2 linked regions of the Danio rerio genome follow. The protein of the gene in region 1 purifies or fractionates together with the protein of each later gene. This does not show direct contact. Links are inferred from orthologs where the notes say so. Each region holds a gene or a part of one and is shown on either strand. Other genes may lie near its edges.

Evidence for each region. The genes of interacting proteins can lie anywhere in the genome.
Region 2: the proteins of bet1 (region 1) and stx5a purify together in Homo sapiens (affinity purification with mass spectrometry; 3 studies listed by BioGRID and IntAct, with this or other methods). This does not show direct contact. The link is inferred for Danio rerio from reciprocal best matches to the Homo sapiens genes BET1 and STX5.

Annotation. Positions count from the first base shown.
Region 1 is NC_133194.1:43,528,910-43,532,667, reverse strand, and holds the end of bet1 (BET1 homolog), read left to right. Parts: intron 1-15; coding exon 16-72; intron 73-2,806; coding exon 2,807-2,962; 3' UTR 2,963-3,257; downstream 3,258-3,758. UniProt on the Homo sapiens protein: Required for vesicular transport from the ER to the Golgi complex. Functions as a SNARE involved in the docking process of ER-derived vesicles with the cis-Golgi membrane.
Region 2 is NC_133189.1:9,160,351-9,164,240, reverse strand, and holds the end of stx5a (syntaxin-5a), read right to left. Parts: intron 2,899-3,890; coding exon 2,792-2,898; intron 2,669-2,791; coding exon 2,547-2,668; intron 1,064-2,546; coding exon 904-1,063; 3' UTR 506-903; downstream 1-505. UniProt on the Homo sapiens protein: Mediates endoplasmic reticulum to Golgi transport.

The DNA of each region.
Region 1 (3,758 bases):
TTATGCCTTTTGCAGTTGTCTATTGACATTGGAAATGAAGTCAAGATCCACAATAAGATGTTGGGAGAAATGGTATGTGTCAGGAAGTTTTTCAATGTCTAGTAGGGGTTTCATGGTACACTAAAATGACTTTTGTTTTGAAGTTTGGTGTTTTCTGTTTAATGGGTGGAAAAATTCATAACATTGATGTTTTTACTATACAAATTGTGGCTGTGTCTTTAAATAAATTCAGTTAAAAGTACAGTTGATATTAAGGGTAAAGAAACTATAAATGTACAACTGCTATTGAGGGGAACAACTATAAACTATATATGGAGCCTTATTATTTAAGCATTGCTATATTTAAGTGTACAGTTTCCAACAGGGACCTTTATTAAATTCAGTTGCAATTAGTTTTTAGATATTGAAATCCATGCTAAAATAATTCTAAATGCAAACATGAGACTGTTTTTACAATAATTTAAATCTAATTATGAAATTGTTTCTACTCCAATTAGTAATCCAATTCCTTTGTAACGGATTCATTTAAACGTACATTATATATTAAATATGTATTGAAAAGTATAAGAATAAAGCATTTATTGTTTGAATTTTAAAGTAACAAAACAAAGCTTTTATTTGTGCATCTGAAATAGGGCTGCACAATCTTGGGAAAAATTGACAGTATTTAGTTTTTCTGCGATATATTGCGATATTGATATAATTTCACAAGATTTGTACCACAAATGTATGAGATTTTCCCATTGAGTCCTTGGAAGTGTCAGGTGCAAATAGAAAGGTGTTTCTACATGTACAGCACACACAGAAATGCACAGTGTGTTTCAAGAGGGGGACTGTGGCGTCTTAAGCCCCTGATGTATTGTCAAAAGCCCCTGATCTTTTGTTGGAATATGTTGCACTTAAATAAAAATAGGTTGTATAAAATTTATTTTGTTATCAAAGTTTTTAAAATTAGCTCATACATCACTGTGCTCCAGTTAACGCAGCTATTAAGTCATGTAATTAAATTGTCAGCTATTCTGCAGTATCTGTTTCTACCGGCAGGTGGGAGTGGCACAGTTGTCACATGGTTTTAAAAAAATCCCATCATCATCATTCATTATTTTGAGGAGCTGATGAGGTAATAATACAATTCGCAAAACTGAATAGTTGTAACTACTGATTTTTTAAATAGCTTTTTTTAATTTGTTTTCACAGTAAAAAATGTGTGTAGTTTTGGTGAAATACAATAACTAATTGATCAAATGTGCATCATATCAATGTAAATACACGCGAATTAGTCAGAAAAACGTAAATTGTACTAGCTCTCTAGATATGATATAGATATCTAGGCATATTTATCTAGATATGATATAGCCAGGCACATCTGTTTCTGTAATGGTTAAATCACAGTGAGGTAATGCATCTTATTATTTTATAGCTTCTATTTAACATGCTTTATCAGTTAGCACCGAACTTAGTTAGCACTTTACAAATCTTGAATACCAATCAGAGACAAATGGGTGTTCAGCACTGCCTACATGTGCATTATTAATTTTAAAATCATCTATCCATTTTCCTACCCTAAAAAAAAACAACAACAAAAAAAGTTTGTTCTATTGCAAACAAAAGAAAACCGAAAAACGTCAGTTTTCTTAATTTTCCTTTTTTTGCTTGAAAACAAATATGAAATGGACGGAAGATTCCCTGATTGTGCATGAAGATGCTTTGTTGTGTGTTTTAGAATAAGTATTTTAAAATGCAATATTTAATGTGTCAGACACAAAATACAAGTTTTTAAATTAAATAATAATTGAATATTAATATGACCAGTTAATGGTTAATATTCTGTTAACAAGTGGCAGTTGTCAGTTGGCAAAATTAACTGAAATGAGCATCCCTAATTTCAATGTATTATGGCTAAACTTTGCAGATCTCATCTTCTGAGCGGTGGTGTTGGATTTAGTATAATCCCATCTCAACATTGCAGATCCAGGGATGTGACAATTTCACATGCAGACATTGAATGCTGAAATTGTGCAGCTCTAAATTAAAAAGTGTTCTGTTGTAAAAAAAAAAAAAACTAAAAGATTGACATTGGGATTTAAGAATAAATATTCATGCATTCACATTAAGGCATTCTAAAGTTCCAATTGTGCTGTGGTTAAAGCAACGCTGTAATCTTTTGAAACGTAAGCATGCTAAACAAATTTACAGTATATACAGTTGAAGTCTAAACTATTAGCTCTTCTGTGAAGTTTTTTTTTTCTTTTTCAAATATTTCTTAAAAGAGGTTTAACAGCAAGGAGTTTTTCACAGTATTTCCTATAATGTTTTTTCTTCTGTAGAAAGTCTTATTTGTTTTATTTTGGCTTGAATAAAAGCAGTTTTTAATTTTTGTTTTTAAAGTCATTTTAAGGTCAGTGTTATTGGCCCCTTAATCATTATTTTTTTCTCGATTGTCTACAGAACAAACCACTGTTATACAACGACTTGCCTAATTTAACTTGTCTAATTAACCTACTGCCTTTAAATGTCACTTTAAGCTGAATACTCTGGAAAAATATCTAGTAAAATATTATGTACTGTCATCATAGCAAAGATAAAATAAATCAGTTATTAGAGATGAGTTATTAAAACTAATGTGTTTAGAAATGTGCTGGAAAATATTCTCTCTGTTGCACAGAAATTGGGGGGGGGGGTATACAGGGGATAATAATTCTGACTTCATACGTGTACTTGCATGTTAAACCCCTTTAATTAAATTTCTTTTTTAAGATAGTAGTATTGTGAATAGCTTTAATATCTGACTCGTTTTCTCCTTAAGGACTCAGACTTTGACTCGACTGGAGGTCTGCTGGGAGCCACCATGGGCCGATTGAAGCTCCTCTCCAGGGGAAGCCAGACCAAGGTGTACTGCTACATGCTGCTGTTTGCTCTGTTTGTGTTCCTCGTCCTGTATTGGGTCATCAAACTCAGGTGACCACACAACTCCTGAGATCCAGGACTTTATTACATGCCATGCTCATTTGGGGTAGAAGAGCAAAATCCTCACACTTATGATGATGGTAATGATGATAATGAGGAGGAATTAAGGGGAGCAAATGTGCTTTTCTGGCCAGTGAATTAGAAATTGAACCATTGAGTTACAATGTGCAATATGAGAGAAAAAAAAAAAACATCTGTCCCCAAAATTACAGTCTCTTCAATGGAGAAATGCTACTTATACTGGAAAAACATGCATATTTAATTCAGTAATAATTAAACATTTGTTTGTGTTATTCTTTTAAGAGAACTTCATTGCTATGAATGGGTGATGATTTATAAATTCTAATGGATTTATATATATATATATATATATATATATATATATATATATATATATATATATATATATATATATATATATATATATATATATATATACTATTGAAGTCAATGGTTACAGGTTTCCAGTTCAAGGCAGTTTCCAGAAGAAAATCAATCATGTGTGTTTGAATAAAATGTCATTTGTCTTCTATTCTGTAATCTATTAAAGGTCCCACAGAATCAAAACAGTGACAGAATTCAAGTTTAGAAGATATAAAACTGATATGAACATGTCAAGCTTATAGATTGTCACTTCACCCAAACGAATCAACTGTTTTATTCACATGAACCTCATACTGCAGTTTCTCATCAAATCATAACCAATTTACTGCTCTCTAGTATCTGACATGCCCCGGCCCGCCCCTATTTTGTGCTTGAGCTGACAGAGCGGTGATTAAACAAAACGCTAT
Region 2 (3,890 bases), on another chromosome or scaffold:
ATATACATTTTTACATGACGTGAGATACAATAAGGTAAATTACATTCATGTATTTTTTTTTCACATTAAAGGGATGGTTCGCTCAAAAGAGATAATTTAAGGGTAAATAAATAATATTATATAGTTCTTTTTTTGGTGAACTGTCCCTTTAATTACATGAAAAAAGTGCTGTAACAGTCCTGAAATAGACATCATTTTTATGTATCAAAAATATAATTACATAAACACAATTAACAATAGCTCCTTTCAATTGTTGGGAGTAAAAAATGATTCTGATACTTCAAGATTCACCCTTAAGTGTGTAATAATCACCTGTTTTTTATATAAAAACTGATTAATTTAAATTAATTACCAGGAGTATTATTAATATCATCAGGAATATCTACTGAAAAGAATCAGATCTCACTGAATTTACCATAAAAAATGTTACCGTGGGATTACGAATAACACTGTCCAAGAGAAAAAAAAAAAAACTAAACCAGTTTGGAGAATCAAACCACTTGGGGAAAAAAAAGCCTTCTCGTTTAATATGTGATGATTAATAAGAAACGAAGGCTCAAGTATTAATGCAGATGAAGCTTAAAGAGAACAGAGTGAAATCAAACACTCTCCTCTCCATCTAAACACACAGTAAATCTCAGTTCCACCTTCATCATCATCCAGAATGGGACAGAAATCTACAACTGAGTCCAGTCCCTCGGACTAAAAGCATTTCTATTAATGAGCATCGTTACCCCATCCCAACCCATCCCCCCTATCCCGAGAGCCAGAGTCTCTGTGGCCCGGTCCATTTGAGTTTGTGTTTTTTTGCACGTTCGCCCATAAGTCCATCGCCTGCTCCTTCCCTCCTTCAAACCCTTTGGCTCTGTTTGCAGCCCTTCTTACAGTTGAGGTCGTTCCACCTCAAGCGAGGAAGACCACGAAGATGACGAAGAAGACGATGAGTACCAGGAATATCTTGATCATGAGCCAGCGGTTGGAGGAGACGGACTGGAAGTACTTGAGGATCTCGCCGTGGGCCATTTCCACGTTCAGCTCTGTGTCGTCCACGTTAGCGTCGATCCTGTAGACGAATAATGAATACATCATGATTTTTACAGCATCTGACAATACCTCAGCTATATCCCTGTCATAATATCTATTTTTTTGTTGTTGTACGATATATTGCACCAAAATACATTACGATAAACGATATTATTGTCATTTTAATTAAGGCTGAAACTAACAATTATTTTAATAATCGATTAATGTGTACATTATTTTTTCGATTAATCGATGAATCTGATAAAAAAAAAAAGTGCATTAATTTCTAAGTTAGTTTATTTAAAAAAGCTCATCCCTGAGCTGTTATAATAATAATAATGATAAAACGAAGTAGTTTTTTCCTGTTTTCAATCCAAAAATCTAAATATTTAAGTCAAGATACATACTAGACACATGAAATAGCATAAGAAATTATAGTTGCGTCCCAAATCGCATACTTATGCACTATTCTACGCCATTTTGTAGTATAAATAGTGTAAGTAGTGTGTTCACACTGAAAACTCTAAAAATAATAGGTGCACTTAATTACCCGGATGATGCACTCATTCAGCCGCTAAAATGAAGCGTGGAATGATGGACACTTCACGCACTCAACGACCGCAGGTTTGCTTAAGTAGTGGAAGGGGCGGAGCACATGTTGAATAACTTTATTTATTTTGGATGGTGAAAGCAAAATTCTCCTACGAGAGTGATTATAGCGCCTCCTGATGGTGAATGCAGCAGTACTCACGGCAGGTATATTTGATAATTCGGTTGTTTATTTCACTGATTTGGCAACCGTCAAATGTCATCAGGGAAACGGTTTGAATTTCCGCTTAGTAAAAAACATTAGTGTGTCATTTGGGACGCCACTACATACATATACTATCCAGTTGAGTGCGTAAGTGCATAAGTACATAGTGCATGAGTGCATAGTGTATAGTGTGCCATTTGGGACGCAGCTGAGGTCTTGTTTTCTTAAAAAAAAAAAAAAAAAAACACCTCAAAATTAAGTGATTGTTTGCTTAAAACAAGTTAAATTATTTGTGAATTGGATAAGAAAAATAATCTTAAAAAGATCTAATCTCAAACTGAAGTTTTACCAGTTTACATAAACGTGTAAGTTTAATTTACTTTCCCTCAAGTTGTTGCAAACCGTCACAAATTTCATTTATTTTGTTGAACACAAGATATTTTGAACAATGTTGGAAACTGGTAATCATTGACTTCCATAAAAGAAAACGGGGGAAAAAAAAAACAAATACTATAGAAGTCAATGGTTACCAGTTTCCAACATTGTTCAAAATATCTTCTTTTGTGTTCAACAGAAAGAAAAACTTGAAGAGGTTTGTGACAAGATAAGGATAACAACACTTTTAAGAGTTGGGTGAACTATTATACCTTTAAAAAGCTCATTTTAATTTGATAAACATGATTGTCAAATTGCTCAGAATGTATAGCTACATTTAGCTGTTATGTGGACTGCCTGTGTGTGTGTGTGTGTGTGTGTGTGTGTGTGTGACCTTTGAATCGTCTCCTCCTGCTCTTTGACCATGTGTGCCAGCTGCTGAAAGATGGAGCCCAACTCCACGATTGTGCTCTCGATGTTCTGCATGGTGTCCGCTCGGCTCTGGATATACGAGTCCTGCACAAACACAATAAAGGGAAATTTGATAATGAAATCAGACATTGAACATTTATCATACATGCAAACCAGAGTCTGCAATCCAGACTAATTCCAACTGCGCTTGATATAAGAGACGGATACCTGTTCATCGATGAGCTGCAGCTGCAGAGGGTTTGCCCTCGAGTCCATGTCGATGGCCACTTCTGCTCCCAGACTCCTGGACTCATCCTGCATCAGAACTGAGCTGTCTGGAAGAGCCACAACCGTAAATGATTTAACATGATGAAAAATTTAAAGTAAGAACATTTGAAGGATTTTCTGCTGGTGACAAAGAAAGTATTTAAACAAAAATATTAACTAACAAGGCATTGCGTGATATCGTTGTGCCTGCTTCAGCCATGGTACAGCAGAAAGTTCAATGATTATCAGAAAGAAGATAGTTCCTACGCTCTATATTGGCCTAGAAAATAGCAACCTTTCATTTTTGGTTGGTCTTGGTACACGATGTAACTACAGAAGAGTTGAGTTTTAGGAAAATGACTGTATATCATCTTTGGTCATTTTTTAACGTGATGCTAATGGTCTAATCCGATTCAATGACTTATGCTAAGCTAAGCTAAAAGTGCTCTTGCCAGACACAGAAATCGGTAAAAAAATAAATGTCATATTCAACTGTTTAACTCTACAGGGCCTGTCACAGACATGGCGCAATTAGGCGCAAGACGTGTTTGCCGCGATTTGTTGCTATTTCCAGACCAGCACCATGCTAATGTTCACATTTTGTGCCACGTTGTCTAAATAGCAAATCCATTTCCTGCATCAAGGATGTGGTGGTCTAAAATAGATGCGAGTCAGGATGCCTTATCGACATGTTGCTATTTTGAGGAAACTGAATGGTATATGAAGAATAAGAACAGAATGTGTGTTTGAATAGAGTTTTTGACCACATTTCGTTATTCTTGTTCATTTATTCATTTGCTGGAAATCAAAACTGAATTTAGAAAAACTTTTGAAACCAATTTTTGTGCTTAAAAAACTAAATTAAAAATGTAGGCTGATGGATGTCTTAAGTGGAGTGCGTACAACACCGTTTCCTTATCCACGAAAGTAAAGTAAGAGTAAAAGTAAAGAGGTTGAATGGAGGAGACTCATGTTTTATCCTTACTGCATTTAAGGGAAGCATTCAGTTTTTTCTTTCACAAAGTCCGCTATGTAAATCGCAAATGCACCATGGCATGAC